Oreochromis niloticus: one gene and its partner. The protein of the gene in region 1 interacts with the protein of each later gene in a pairwise test. Links are inferred from orthologs where the notes say so. Each region holds a gene or a part of one and is shown on either strand. Other genes may lie near its edges.

Region 1 (8,333 bases):
TTTGTGCACAGGCAGTCTTCAGGTGTACTCACCAAGCTGTTTTATAGATCTGGAAGATGCATTCACTTGGGGCTTTGCAGGAAGAGGAGGGAACTTGAAAAAGAACACAATATTATTTTATTACAAAAATTTTATCCCATTATTTGTCTTTTAAAACATTTCTTAAAGAAAAGCTTGTGAAAGTTTCATGCATTTTAAAGTTACTCTGTGCTTAGATCGGTTGTGATATGCAGACTCTATGCACTATATCAGATATTACACAATGTGCTTGTGTAATACATTACAAAGAACATCAACACACACTGTCATAGTAGGAAGTACCATAAAAAAAATACATCCTGATGGTGTACTGTTGACTTTCTTTGAAAAAAGTAATCCCTACATTGTTTACTTAATTCCCTACAGTACTGGGGCAGCTGGCAAAAATAGCAACGATAAAATCAGCTGATTACAAAAGAGAAGGAGGACACAGGAAGGAAAAGCAGGAAGGACTTTAAACAACAAAAAGCAGTACAAACATGGCAAGAAGAAAGTACACTCTTTTAATTCTTTACATACCAGGACACAATAAAAGTCATCTGGACCTTGGTGGGTTTAAATAATTTAACTTTAAACTCATCGTTATCATTATTTAAACACAACATCAAATACACAACAATACATGGCATATTACACTGTGTCTTTATTCATTTGACCCTTGTGTGGTGTTCATGTTTTGGTTACTCAGCCCATGTTTGTGGGTCTGGGTGAATCCAGTGCATTTGGGGGGTTTTGAATCTATGCAGCCATAAAGATTTGTGTAGAAATACTTAACAGATGTTCACTTTTTCCCAGTTCCAGGAAATTCATCAGCAATAGTGGTTGCTCATCAGTCTGGGAAGGGTTATGAAAGCTATTACCAGAGAATTTGAAGTTCATCTTTTTACTGTGAGAAAGCTTATTGACAAGTTCAAGACAGCTGCCAATATTCCCAGGAGTGGACATCCCACCCAGCCCACCAGGGCTGACTGCAATCTATGGAAAAATCTCAAGAGCTAGCTTGTTAAATGTTAAAGGTCAGGAGAGTAAATTTAGAAAAAGACTGCACAAATATGGGTTGTTTGGAAAGTTTGCAAGGTTTGCAAAGCCTCTTCTTGCACAGCTTAGCATTGTTGCATTTGTACAAATCACAAGACTTTGGGAACAATATCCTTCAGACAGACACGGCCACAGTGGAGGTGTTTGGCCATAATGTGCATCGCCACATTTGGACGAATAAAATCAAACACAGCATATCAAGACAAACACCTCCTAACAACTGCTACGCATGGTGGTGGAGGAGAGATGTTTTCTGTACACTAAAGAATTCTAGAGTCAGATGTGAGACCATCTGTCCAACAAAACCTAAAACCTGGCCCAAACTGGGTCCTACAACAGGACAATGATGCCAAGCACACAAGCAAATCTATCACAGAATTGCTGAAGAAGAAAAGAAAGAAAAGGTGTTGCAACGACCCAAAGTCCAGACATCAACCTGACCTAAATGCTGTGGTGGGACCTTAAGAGAGCTGTGCATAAATGAATGCCTAAAAAACTTGATGAAATGAAATCACATTATAAAGAAGAATGGGTCTAGATTTCTCCACAATAATGTAAGAGACTGATAAAGTCTTACAGAAAAACATTATTCCAAGTTATTCCTGCCAAAAGGTGGTTCAAGCTATATAATCAAGGGTTGTACTTAGTTTTTCTCACACTGCTTCTGCTTGACAGAGTTTTTGTTACATAAATGATTTCATTCTGTAATATGTCATGTGCTATTGTTCATGTGAGGTTGAACTTCTAAGGACTGGATAATTTATTATATCCTGACATTTAAATACAAGAACTGAAAGAGGGTTTACTTTTTTTTAACCATGACTGTATCTTGGATAGAAACAGCACATTTTCTTAGCAGCAACAGAATCAGTCGATGAATTGAATTGGTCTGAAAGTTTCTCCGTAGTTTCAAGCTAGCACTTGCTGTACACACAAAAAGGCTGTTCCAAGATTCAACATTTGTGGCACTAAAGCCACCAGTACTCCAGCCCTGATCAAGTTATTGTCAAATAAGCACATATAAACTATATTCAAGAATAACAAGTACTGACTATGACTCCCTGTATCCCTGGCACATCCTCCTGAGAGAACAAGTGCTGCTGCAGCCATTCAAAATCCTCATAGGTCCGGTCCACATGGTACTCCCCTGTACCAGAGAGCTGGAACAGAAAGGAAAGACAACCAACTGCTTTTGGAAAATCATAGTTCAAATAAATAGGCTGACAAATTCTATGGTTCTTGTGTCATTCGCCTGGATCTAACCAGATGACAGTTTAATGAATCTCACCTTTTGAGATACGATGATAAAGGTGAGAGTGTCCCCGTCTTTCAACACCTCTGTAACTTTGATGCTGTCGTCATGGACACTCAGAACAGATGCCGCTTCTTTCACTTCTTCCTGCAATTAAAAAAACAAAGCGGTCAAAAGCAGTACAGCACAGCAGAAGCAGTCAAATGGCTTCAGTACAGGCTGAGATTAAAGTCACATTCATGCGCAAACTAAATTTAAAGGGAGAACAAAACATAGTTCAGGACACTGTACTCATGAATGTCTGCGAGGAGTAAAAGCCTGTCACATGACACTCAGAGGCTTACAAATCCTGTAAAATCTACAGGCGTACTCACCATCATTGTCAGCTTTGCAAACTAGCAGTCTATCTTTTATCTGCCTTTGTGGTTTGTCCTTTTCGCGTGTTAAAAGTACATAAAACTGGAAAGAGCTTTTGCCTGTTGCCTTTTAGTCTGCTCGAGCTCCAAGTGTTGAGAATGCACAGGATATCCTTTGGGTCAAAGTGCACAATGGTCCCATGAGAAATGGAGTAAAACGGTGCCAAATCTAAAGTGCTGGCGCAAGGAAAAAGATGAGTAAATAGTGTGTTAGTGAGTAACTCTGGACCTTCGACACACCCACACAGGAAAAGTGGCATAACGGCTCAGTCGGTTATCTAGCAGCCAGCCTTACAACCCCACAGCTGCTGAATTTATAAGTGAGCTCATAAAAGGGGGAAGAATGCAAACAGGTTCAAAGGGTCTGTTTAGGTGATTTTTTTTTTTTACATAATGAATACTAGAAACAGATACTGAGAGAGCATTTTAGACAGAATACTTTATTATCGATAAAAGAAAACATGTTAAAAGGTTACAGTCATTCCAAGTACAGGGCAAAAAAAAACCTTTTAGAAGTAGTACTCTTCTTCATATTCATCTGGATCGCCAAAATAAAAGCTAAATCTCTCCCCCTCAAAACTGTAGGGTTCATAACGACCATCCTCCTCATCCTCTTCCTGGTGAAAGCCCCACTGTCCACCAAAGAGACTGTCATCAAAGTCGTGGAAGACGTCTGAGAAGCTGAAGTGGAAGCTTGTCTGATACTCATCCTCAGGCTTGACTAGGTCCTCATTTTTCAGGAAAGCTTCGTGGCCCACACGGTCATACACCCTCCTTTGCTCCTTGTTTGAGAGGACTGTGTAGGCTAAGGAAAGACAGTTAGAGGGGAAAAGGTCAACTTTGGTGATGGAGGGGTGTGGTTGCAAACAAGCAACCACAACGCCTGGGCACCTGGCAGTCACTGACTCAACTATGAACTAGTCTGTGTACCAAAGTCCTCTAGAGTCAAATGGTAAAGCTAAAGCTGCTCAGACATCAACCTGTGTGAAATGTTAGAGAGTAGCTAAACTAAACTAGCAGCTTAACTTCGTTTTGCAAGAGTCAGCTGGCCTCCAGTTATTTACATCTTTTTTTTTTTTATGTAGTTGACTTCTAAACCTTGAAACACTAATAATGGACCAGAAAAGTTGCTTCTTTAAAAAGCCCCACCCCTGCTGCTCTGTGAAATCCCGTTTAGGCAATGCATTTATCAGATCATCAATGTCAGAGCTTTGCATCCACAACAGGCACTTGCAGAAGAGCAGGTCAAACAGTGACATTGACCGATTAATAATAAACCTCCATAAATCACCAGCTATTCATGGAAGTTATTGCATGCAATTTAATAAGGTACCTTACTGAGCTTATTTGCTTCTTAAAGAGCCTGTTTGATGGGAATAACAAGTACATTTTTGCACTTTTGCCAGGAAGAACAGCGATTTTTTTTAAACAGGGGGAATTTTTTTCTGAAATCACACTTCCATTTATTTTTTAACTACTATTTTTAAACTTTTTTTTGAGTAGTTTTAGTTAACTTAACTCCATATGGTGGCTTTGTTGTACCTCAGCTTCTTCCATAGTGAAGTAATTTTTAGTTTACTATAAAATATTGTACTAATGATAATATTGATAATAGTAATAAAACCGTTCACGTATTTACACTGTAAAATGTAAACGTTTCAGTGTGTCGGAGGAGGCATCCTTTCATCCTTTACCTTCAGCAATCTCCCTGAAGGTCTTCTCAGCATCTGCGCTCTTGTTCTTATCAGGGTGGTACTTCACGGCCAGTTTTCGGAAAGACTTTTTTATCTCGCTGTCCGTTGCTGTTGGCTCAACATGAAGAGTGTCGTAGTAATTTCTGTTTATCTCTTCGGACAAGGCTTCAGATAGACAGAGCAGCAGAAGCATGCAGGGTCGCAGCCAGTAGGAAGCACCTTGCACTGCCATGTCGAGGAGCGCCCCAGCACAGAGAGAGTGAGGAGGAACTCAAAACAAACGTCGTCATGTGCACAACAGTTTATCTCGAAGTGTGGCAGACCTTGTGGTTTAGCGTCTCATTTTCATATCCACACAACGCCGTAAAGCCTCCACGTCAGCACTGTGTTTGTAGTACGAGTACACCAAAAGTAGCAGTTGTTGGTGTATTTACGACAATTTCTGTGGAGCTTACGACAAAAACAGGGGCACGAAAGAAAAAAGTGACCTCGTTTACAGACTTTGCAAGACTCCGTGAATCCAACTTTACGTCGTGCACGAAATTATTTCGTGGTTTTAAAAGTGACCAAATAATGAACACGCTAAGGTGGTGTTCCGCATTTCCACCAATAGAGGGCAGAAAATCCCAATCAGCGAAAAAATAAGGAAGACGCCGGCGCTCTTCTTCGTTGGTATTGAAAGCTGCATGAAGAAAAGTGGTAAACAGCACCAGGGCCTCGAGGAACTGCTAAAAATAACGCAAGTTTTTTTTTGCTTTTGTTAGCAGCGGTGTCTGTTGACTCAGTTAGAGGAAGTTGTTTCTTCGTGGGAGCTTCTCAGCTGTACTTTGGATCCTTCTCTATCCTTCGATTTGGTAAGACTACAGTAGTACCCAGTTAGCTAGATGTTCGCTAGCCATTAGCTACCCATGGTAGACGACGGTTTCGTAGCACCATTTTAGGCTAACCTATTCTGGAATATAATACGACAGAGTATGCATTATTTACTGGTTGAAATCCGTTGCATTTAATTTATTTGATGTTTTGTAGTGTTTTACCAAAGAACCATGTAAACAGAAGCGAGGCTATTTATTGTTTACGACGTGTTGTCACGTGCTAAATATCTGTCCCAACCTTCTCTAAGGTAATCATTTACATGTCCTATTGTCTTTCATGTCGATATTCAAATCTCCCCCTTTAGTTCTATCGCCAGTGTCTCATGCTGGGTTCGTGTTTTTGTCTTGCAGGTAATTAAACGGCAGATTGCAATACTTCGAGTGTGAAGAAACAATTAATGACTACTACTGTGTATGTGAATGTTTACCAGCTCACATTTGCCATTCCCAAACACACATGAGTGCTCCTTTCTCCTTGAGCTGGGCCGAGCGCCATGCCTGACCGGGACAGTTCCTACCTGTCAGGTGGTGGTGGGAGTGGTGGTAGTCTGGGTGAAGAAGGGGGACCCGGGTCTGGTTTGGCAGGGAGTGCGGCAGAGGGCAGAGGAGGTTCGGGAAGTAGTGTTGGAGGAAGCGTCTCTGGCTCTGGGGGTATGGGTGGAGGAGGAGCGCTCGGAAATGGCAACAGCTATGGGAACGGTGGAGGCCAAGGTGCTGGACTGGCCTTGGATGGCGTCTGCAGGGACTTCATACGCAATGTTTGCAAGAGAGGGAAGCGCTGCCGCTTCAGACACCCAGACTTTAACGAGGTGCCAGACTTGGGAGTGCAGAAGAACGAATTCATCTTTTGTCACGATCATCAAAATAAGGAGTGCATGCGCTCCAACTGTCGCTTTGTCCACGGATCCAAAGAGGATGAGGACTATTACAAGAAGACAGGAGAGTTACCTCTCAGACTAAGAGGGAAAGTTGCTGCACGGCTAGGCCTCTCCCCCATGGACCTCCCCCATAGCCGCGGTGAGGTTCCCATCTGTAGAGACTTCCTGAAGGGAGAGTGCCAGAGGGGCAATAAATGTAAATTTCGCCATGTCAAAAAAGACTGTGAATATGAACCAACCAGGGTTGGAGTGAGTGGCATTATGGGGCCAGGTGTCAGTGGCATTGTGAATGCTGGAGGAGGCATGGGTGGAGGAGGAGGTGCTTGCGGAGGAATGCAGGGACTTGTGGGAGGTGGCGCAGGGGGTGGAGGTAATATGATGGGGACCAGCTGCCCCGGCTTGGGTGGTTGCAGAGATCCAGGTATCTCAGGTCTTGGAGGAGTTGGTGGAAGTGGAATGAGTGGGTGTCTGTCCATAAGTTCATCCGGACAGCGACGTTATGACAGGAGCACATGCTCAATGTTTGACCCTCTGGTTGAAAGTAGTCTGTTTGATGCTGGTTCCCTGGAGGCCTCTATGGACCACACCACTCTACAGTTAAAGAGGCGACGGTTGGAGGGGCTGCGTCTGACAGATGGGAGTGGAGGTGGGCACTACGAGTTGGGAGTTCAAGCCACCTTGCCACCTCGTCCTCTGGAGTACAGATTCCTAGAGGAAGAAAATTCCCTGCTAAGGAAGAGAGTGGAAGAATTGAAAAAGCAGGTAGGTATAAGAATGATATTATGACTTCCTGGGAATGGAGTCATGCCACCGATGCAGGACGTAAATGGCTTCAGTCATTTTTATTTATTTTTTTACTGAGATACATGCAAAACAAGCATTGCCAAATTCCAACTAAACAGAAACTTTTTTGAGGTATTTTATGACACATCCTGGAAAGATTAAAGTATTTTCAAAATAACCAGTTCAAAGAAAAGGCCGATCCAAACAGCATCTCAGCGATATATCCAAAAATCCACCAGAATTATTGTCCCATGTTTGTTAGAAGTGTGATTAGGTGTCTGGTGACAGACTTGCATATTAAAATTCCAGCGATCAACAGTTTACATTAACATTACAATAAAAATGTAAATATCAGGTGAAAGGAGTTGGCGACAAAGGAGGACTTTATTTCATGTAGTTACAATTAAGCAAACTTTGCTGATCTAAACAAAGAATCATCCAGGAACCTATTTATTTGTTGCTTCTTCCTTTTGGAGGATGCTAATGACACATTTTTGTGTTGCTGGGCTCTTTTTCAACATTTAAATCACATCATATCAGATGGGATTTAAATGTTGGAAAAGAACCCAGGAACACACTGTTAAAATGGTTGATGTTATTAGTAAGAACTGAGATCATCTGATGTCCAGAAGCACAGAATTTAGACTGCTGTAAATGCTCTGCCTATTGGCCAGAATAGTGGACTTGAAGGGGAATGAGTTACTGAAGAGTTAATATGAAGTGACGGCTGTGCAGGAGTAAATGGGGAAAAATTTGTTTCCCCTTTAGTCACCTGACAAAAAGGCCCACTGGATGTTTTGGGGGTAAAAGGAAAAGACACTGTAACATCATGAGACACACAAACACTCAGATTCTGCAGTTTTTTGCCTTCTCTTTCTGTAAAACTATGATTAGTTAACATGAAGTGTAAGACTACTTGTAAATGATTTCCTTTAAACCTTTGCGTATTTCAAATATTTAATGTCTCTGTGTTTCCTGTCATGAACTTTCTGCCTGTTTATACTAAGCTCTTTCTTATGTGTTTTTCAGGTTTCCAATCTCATTGCCACCAATGAGGTTCTTCTGGAGCAGAACGCCCAGTTCCGAAGCCAGGCCAAAGTGATGACACTGTCTTCAACTCCTGCACCCACTGAGCAGAATCTGGCGCCCCCCGTAGGGTCCGTGAGTTCCTACAACCATAGCATCGCCCAGACTCACACCACCTTGAGCAGTGCTCCGTTACAAGCTCGGCCAGTCACCCAGCAAGACCTCGTAGCTCCCGCTGGTGCCCCTGCAGCCCCCCCAACCAATGCAGCCCCACCCACAGCTCCTCCGCCACACCTCAATCCTGAGATAACCCCCCTCTCAGCCGCCCTCGC
Region 2 (7,818 bases), on another chromosome or scaffold:
ATGTGGTATCAGTTTGGTAAGTGTTTAAAAAAGCAAAACAAAAAAAGGGTTGTTGAATGGTTGGTAATTCTTTTGGAACACTTGACTCTTAACCTACTTTTAAAAAACTATTTGTTTGTCAAAAACTGTCCTTCAATATTGAGGGCCCTATAAATTTGGGATCTTAAGCCTGACCAAAATGTGAAATCTTGTATTTGGAATACCAGCGTCCAAATGTTTGGCACACTTCTTCTTTAAAGTAATAAGGCATGTGGAAATTTCCATTTCCATAGCATTTTATAGCAATAAAATTCTCCGTGCACATCAAAAAAAACCTGTAGTAACATGATATTTTTAGGTTTGTTGGATGAATCGATGTCGTTGTGCATAACACATTGTGCATTAACTGCAAGGGTAGTAAAGTATGTCTGTTTCAGGACAGAAATTGTTTAAAATGTTGTCTGCAGTTCTAATTGCCTAAAGCACAAGGCCTCCTGTAATGCTAAGAGTTTGTAGTATAACATTTTTCTTAAACCTGATCTATTGTGATGAGACAAATGATCACTGTAGTCGTATAATTGTCATGTTTGTAACAATTTCAGCAGTTTTGGTACTAATCAATTTTTGCAAATTATATAACAATTGACAGATTGCAGTTCAAAAATATAGTTTTAGAGTAAAAATTACAGAATTACATAATTTTTTAAACCACACAAACATATAACCAAGTTAATCAATATCTGGAAATATAGCAATATGAAAATAGCATAACTCCTGCTGTAACCATGGCTGGATAAGAGCCAAAGCCATGCCAAGACTGTTTTGTTTGGTGGGTGGATCTCTGAATTTGAAGCTGTAGTGAACTACTGTTTTGTTTTTAATCAGTCTTAACGACTCCGTCTCATGTTGTTGTTTTGTTAAACATTTGTTGCACAATTATTTGTCTGTCTTGTTTTAAAGTTTAATTTATTGGTGAAAAGCTGGTTCAGAGTGCAGTAAATTGGATGTGGTTATACAAGTGCCTGGTGTGAGGACCTAATGTGTGGCCAGCATCTATTTACTGATTTTTTTTATTTTTTATTTTTTTAATTTATATCATCTGATATGTAATCAGTTTCATCCTGTATGTCAGTGACATCTCTAAGTTGCACTTGTTGCCTAAGAATAATTTTTGAGCAGTAAATGTCTGTTTTATATGAGCTCCCACCGAACTGCATGTTAACTCTCAATAATACTTATATCTACAGCTGTGAAAAGAAAATGACCTGTAATAACTTGGTTATTCTTTTTTTTTCTTTTTTTTCTATGTTGGTATGAGATTTAATACTGGCTACTTTGACAAGAGAGTGATCTTGAATAAAAGCAGAGTGGACACAGGGTTATCATGTAGCTGCTTTACACTGGAAGAGACCTGGCGAGTTCTTATTACGACCATTTATTGCTATAGGTGAAGGTAACACACTTTTTCTTAAAATTTAAAACTGCTGTATAAATGAAGAAGTCATTGTGATGGTTCTGTACATATACAAGGTTACACCTTTTTATCTGATATGTTTCTCTTTTCTGTATATTTGAGACAATTTTCTTTGGGTTTGCCAATAAATTCATATGTTCCTCTATTTTTGCTACGTGGTGGTTTGTCACAAACGGCAGTAATGCAGAAATGTGAGACTAACAATAATAATGGGTAACTGTCAACTGGGGATATTTTCACATGATTTATAAAAACCTAGTTCCAAACAAACAGAATCACATGAACCCAGATTTTATTCACAGTAGAACAAAGAAAACACATTTGTTAGAAAAAGAGGGGATGTTACATAATGGCACTCTCCAAACTTTTTGGACACGTCTTGTTACCATCAAATTCAAAATATTTTTCTTGTTATGGTACATGGTGGTTCAGTTTAAATGTGATGTTTTGTGTCTTTGACTGTGGATGAAATGTGGCTTTGAGATTTGCAGATCACTGCATACCGTTTTTGTTTACATTTTACAAAGCGTCCCAGTTTTAAGATTTTAAAAGGATAAGTTCAAAATTGTAGTTGTGTAACAACTGCAGTAATCATTCCTCTGGCATCTGAGTGCTTCTTTGGGGGCAATTGAATTGACTCTGAATTTTGAATGGATGTTGGTACCAGATGGGCTGGTCTGAGTATTTCAGAAACTGGTGATCTACTGGGATTTTCCAAAACAACCATATTTAGGATTTACAGAGAATGGTCCAAAAAAGAGAAAATATCCTGTGATCTCTGTTCTTTATGTGAAAATGCCTTGTTGATGGCCAGACTGCTTGGAGCTGATAGGAAGGCAACAATAACTCCAATAACCACTCATTACAACAAAGGTATGCAGAAGAGCATCTCTGAAGGCACAAGTTTGGGCTGCTGGTTGTGGTGTAAGGGTGTGGGAGATACTTTCTTGTCAGACTTTGGGCCCCTAGAGTGTCAGATTACATCTAACCTGAGTATTGTTGCTGACTGCATCCATCCACGTATGCACAAGTTAAACCCACCAGTAGGATACCAAAGCTCAAATCATCTCAGGCTCGTTCCTTGAACGTGACAGAGTTCACTGCACTCAAATGGCCTCCACAGTCACCATATGTCAAACCAATAGAGTACCTTTGGGATGTTGTGGAACAGGAAGTTTTCATCATGGATGTATCACATTTTCATCAATTGTATGACTTTATGATGTCATACAATTCCTATCATGTCAATATGGGCCAAAATCTTTGAGGAATATTTCCAGCACCTTGTTGAATCTGTGCCACTAATACTTAAAGCAGCTCTGAAGGCAGAAAGGGATCCAACCCAGTACTAGCAAGGTGCACCTAATAAAGTGGCCTGTGAATGCATTTGTCTATGACTTATATAAAAATTGACACAGGGATAAACTGGGAAGTCAATACATGGGTGAAATGGGCGTGAAATATCTGGACGAAAAAATATATAAGTGCAAATATCTTTTGCACAAAGATTCAAAATAACTTTTATTTGGTAATTTGCATGACCCCAACATTGCACATGCTGAGCTAACAACACAAAATATTCTCAGATTCTATACAAAAAGTTTCCATCTGCATCAAAGAAATCATTCCCAACTTGGACTGCTGGAGAGGGCTTTTCCATTTTCATAAGCTCTTCAAGTTCTTCCTCTGTCAACACCTGTCCATCCCAACTCTCTTCATCCTCCTCTGTAAGCTCACTCTCATTAGTGCTGCGCTCTGTTGTTTCTGTCACTGTGGCATCTTCACTAATACCAGCTGCAATGTGTGTGGGCTGAACAGTAACAGGGACAGGACTCTTAGCTAGGGAACGTGAGCCATGACCTTGAATCACCTGAGTCTGATTAGCCACAGGGATCAAAGCACCTTCTGTGCTCCCAGGTGGGAGTATGGCTTGTGAGTTCCTTTCGGGCAGTTTCAACCTGTCCTGCTGTGTCTTAGCACCTGAAGGCAGCACCTGCTGGCTCATTTTAGCCATTACTTTTGCATTCTGCTTGGCTTTTCTTTCAGGAGAGGAGATGAATTTGCTTCTCAGGACTCTCAGGATCACATCATGGCTGACAGAGAAGCCTTCAGCCAGACGCTCTACTGTCCACTCGTCTGGCTGATTTTGCTTCAGATATCTGAAAATTGAGATTTCATATTAGGCTTAATTTAAAACACTTCTTAGTTTACCATCTGGACAAACTTAACCCTCATCCTCACCTGATCTGCTCAATGGCATCCCAGGTTAACCTCCTCTCTGGAGCTCCTGATGGTGTCATCTGCCTCCTTAATATGTGATACTTCACAGTCTTCTGTCTTTTTCTCTCTTCCCTGAAACAAATCCCCAGAATATTTAATATATCTTGTCATAAAGACACCATATATTTATTATTTAACATCGTTTTACACTGGAGAAATGTGTGAAAAGTCCTACTGAATCTTACTGAATTAAAGCTTGCAGTTTGTCCTCCACGTCCTCCAGCTCGAGTTCTCCATTAGATGTCTCATCGCTGTATCCTGGTCTGCTTGATCCTTTGTCTGCCTGCGCAGGGCCCTGTCCCATCCGTGCCTTGCTGGCCCCTCTGCTTGCAAATCGGCAGTTGCTAGCACTCACTGAGGGAATCAGAGATGAAGCACCAAACTTGGAGAGGAGGGAGAGTATCTGCACAGACCTGGCCATGCCAATAAACGATGTGTCGTCCTTTTTTCTCTTTCGTTTTTCTTTTCTTGTTTTTTAGGGAGTCACTTAGGTGTCATGATAACAAAAACTTATTTTACTATAAATTAAACATAACCTTGCTGCTCACGCACTCATGGTACCACTCGTAGAAGTACTTCCGCAAACACTGGGCTCATAGCATAAAATCGGCGCTCTACTGCCAACTAGCGCTACGGAGGTAACATTATTACGTGTCCCTGTGCTGAACAAAGGTGGTTACCTCGACCATAACACTACTTAAATTGCACGCGTTGCAGGTTTAACGGTACTGATGCGAGAATAATTTCCACTGATAACATAATCGAATAGCAGTTAACATAAATAATACAAGTCAGGAGAAGTCCGCTAAAATAAGAAAACTCAAACTAAATGGCGACATCTGCCGAGGGGACACTGCAACGCTGCCTCGCCCCCCTGTTCAAGTGTCACGCAGCTGCGCACCTCTCTCCCAGTCGCCGTTGTTTCATTTGCGCCATTTTGTCCGCTCACTTTGTTGATTGGGCTTTAGCAAGCTGTACTGGAGCCAATCAGAGGGAAACCGGACAGCGAAGATACGGTAAGGAAGCCCCGATTGAAGGCATTGGTAGTTGTCAGCACGGATTGGTTTGTCATGGACCAACCAAATTACTAACCCTGCTTAATGCAAAAAACTCAAATTGCAGTTTGATTTCGACCGCTGCGTCCCAAGACCTACAAATAGCTTCATGTTTCTAGCGTTGGCCACCGCGAGGAAACATGATCCCCGCTTGGTCCACAAGCCTTAGCTAGCGTTAGCTTCTTCGCTAAAATATCGTTTCTCGAACAAAGAGAGTGGGAATAAAGCCACCGTTCGACCGTCAGCAAACACTGCCAGGTACATTATAATGAGCTGTAATAAACAAGCTGCCCACAAGAAAATATCCACGTTCGGAGTTGACGACACAAATAGTATCCTTATGCGCTTTCTAGAATTTACCACGCTTTTAGCTAGCGGACTGGCGCTAGCCGTGTTAGCTTCCCCAGTAAAATACCCGCTAAATAAAATTCCCCTTTGAAGGAGTCCAGCAGCTGACACAGCTGTGTCCTCCTGGGGGGATCATGTTTCAGCTGAAATTCGTAGACTTCACATTTGACACAATGCGACACAAGTCGGTGTGAGGAAGCACTATAAGGTCCTCTTTAAATATTGAGACCAATGAATTGAAAACACGTAGATATCGGTTAAAAAGACGGGGGTTTTTTTGTCGTCGTAAAAAAAAAAAAGATCATTTGTTTACATATAAAATGCACTGTAAACCATAGAAATCCAATATTGGCTCATTTGTATGTTTTGTCTTTGCCTCATCAGGTTTTTCACGGTAAAAAGCCATGGAGCAGTACACCACTGCCACCACTACTACTGGAGAGCAGATTGTTGTTCAGACAGCTAATGGACAGATCCAGCAGCAGGTGAGCTTAGGGTCGACAATTTTATTCCTTTTTTAATTAATTAATTATTTTTTTTAAAATTACCCTACCACCAGATATGAACTAATATGTAGTAAGATTATGAATACCAGAGGGTCAAAATAAAATAAAGTTTTAGGGATTCCAGTTGGATCATTGGATCTCAAATCATGGTGTCATTTCTGATCAGTCCTCCCAATTTGCCCTAAAAGTTTATGGTCCAGGGATTACCTGTGTGTATAAATATAAGTCGTGATACCTGTGATCTAAGTATTATTGAGAGTGATATCAACTATTTATTAAGATATAAATTTTTTTGAAAAATGTCCCATCAACCCACTTTCAGCATGTTTTTTTTTTTTTTTTTTTCACGCTTTGAAATCCGAGGCAATGTTTGAACATGGATATCTTTAACACTATTAAAGATAAAAGTGAAATTCTTTACTAAACTCTCGATTCATTAAACTGAACCAGCATCTGTAAATTGGGAGAGAGAAATTGGCTAGATCAGATATGAGAAAAATTAAAAGCAGTCCTGCAAAGTCTAATATTTGAGTAAAGATTAATAAAAAAAAATTCACATTGTAAAAGACAACTAGTGACAATTTCTTAACGATATATAGCTGTACTTCACAATAATGAAAAATAACATGTATAATAATTTTTAACATGAAATCCTCGGTCACAAACATGAAGAAGATGCTATTTTCATTCAAGTTTCATGCTGGATTGAGAAAACATGACACACATTTATACCACAAAAATATTAATAATCTAAATAGAACAGATCTTTTGTAATTACTCTACCTATAACCAAGAAAATAATTGTTTTAAAATATGCAAACTTTTTAACTTTTCAGGTCAAGTTTTTAAGGTAATTATGTTCAAACTTTGCTTGAGTTTTCAGTGTGCAGATTTTTTCTGCCTAAAAGGCAGAAAACTGGGTTTACTGGCCTTTTAAAATAAACAAATCTAGAAATATTTCATATATGAAGCTAACACTTCAAAGCAGGCATTATATATATGTCCAAGCTTCAGACCATATAATTTTTATGCAAATCAGAAATGGTTGACTATACATAGTTTTTTTTGTTTTTTTTAAAAAAAAAAAAGATTATTTGAGATGCAGTAATCCAGTTCCAATTTATTTTCTTGGTACTTTGTTGTTGAGTCTGTATGTATGAGTCTGTATCCTGCCCTGCCTGCAGACACAAGGCACAGTGACGGCTGTGCAGCTGCAAACAGAGGCGCCAGTGGTGACGGCCTCAGGCCAGCAGGTGCAGACACTCCAGGTAGTGGTGTCACCGCCGCCCTGTGTCAGTGTCATGACTGTTTCACAGCCTACCGGTTTGCATGCCATAGCCAGGGCTGTTTGTATTTTTATTTTTCCAGGACCCATCTGTGCTGTTTGGTTCATCATTTCCCTCCCAAGCATGTCTTGCAACTGCACGTTCCTCAGCACAGTGTTTTGTGTGTCAGCCTCCAGTTATTGCTTTTGTTCTCATGGCTGTCTAAACTGAGTTGTGCTTGTCTCTTGCTATTAAAAGCAAGTTTAGAAAGTCAGACGTTCTTGTTCTCAAGTGCCGATGGCTGTGGAGAAAAATATGCAGAATATACAACAGAACATCTTTCTGAGGTCTGCATGGATCCACATCCATTACTGGCTGCCACTGTTCATCATAGTCTGATATTTTTCTTACTGTTGTGCTGAATAATGTCAGCAGGTACTGTTGCCCTTGCAATTTTTTTTCCTGTCATGCTGCTGCTGCTGCTGCTGCTGCCACAGACCATAATTTGTACGCTGTGGTCACTTTATGGATGTAAGATGAAACATCAGTACTTGCCAAGTTGAACATGTAAATGCAAATTAATTTTACCAACATCTTGACCAGAAAGGTACAGTAAGCAAATTCAGTTCTTGTAAGCTCTTGTTTCAGTAGCAGTATGGCTGTAAATACAAGACCTAAATTCTACATACAGAAGTTTTGTATTTTTTGTAGCCTAAGCTCATGAGAAAAATGATTAAACATAAATTAGATACATTGGGTCCAGAAACAATCTATGCTATGTAACAGGATGCTTTCATGTTTGTATTTTAGGAAACAAAAAACGTGAGATCAACAAGTGCTTTTATCCACAGTGTAGAACCCTGGATGTTTCTCATGTCATACCACTTGCATGCAGCTCTGCAAGTCACAAG

The links.
Region 2: the proteins of zc3h10 (region 1) and nfyal interact in binary tests that used the Homo sapiens proteins (3 or more experiments, as listed by UniProt). The two-hybrid records come from large-scale screens. The link is inferred for Oreochromis niloticus from reciprocal best matches to the Homo sapiens genes ZC3H10 and NFYA.

The regions. Positions count from the first base shown.
Region 1 is NC_031970.2:23,961,221-23,969,553, forward strand, and holds the start of zc3h10 (zinc finger CCCH domain-containing protein 10), read left to right. Parts: upstream 1-5,107; 5' UTR 5,108-5,293; intron 5,294-5,665; 5' UTR 5,666-5,808; coding exon 5,809-6,954; intron 6,955-8,004; coding exon 8,005-8,333. Other genes in the region: si:dkey-28n18.9 (sorting nexin-6), read right to left, coding at 33-93, 2,130-2,237, 2,366-2,476, 2,704-2,709; dnaJ homolog subfamily B member 9, read right to left, coding at 3,255-3,550, 4,440-4,671. UniProt on the Homo sapiens protein: Specific regulator of miRNA biogenesis. Binds, via the C3H1-type zinc finger domains, to the binding motif 5'-GCAGCGC-3' on microRNA pri-MIR143 and negatively regulates the processing to mature microRNA.
Region 2 is NC_031984.2:21,203,216-21,211,033, reverse strand, and holds the start of nfyal (nuclear transcription factor Y, alpha, like), read left to right. Parts: upstream 1-4,601; 5' UTR 4,602-4,749; intron 4,750-4,755; exon of another isoform or gene 4,756-5,046; intron 5,047-5,520; 5' UTR 5,521-5,540; coding exon 5,541-5,621; intron 5,622-6,826; coding exon 6,827-6,913; intron 6,914-7,818. Other genes in the region: ngrn (neugrin), read right to left, coding at 3,036-3,612, 3,695-3,805, 3,919-4,154. UniProt on the Homo sapiens protein: Component of the sequence-specific heterotrimeric transcription factor (NF-Y) which specifically recognizes a 5'-CCAAT-3' box motif found in the promoters of its target genes.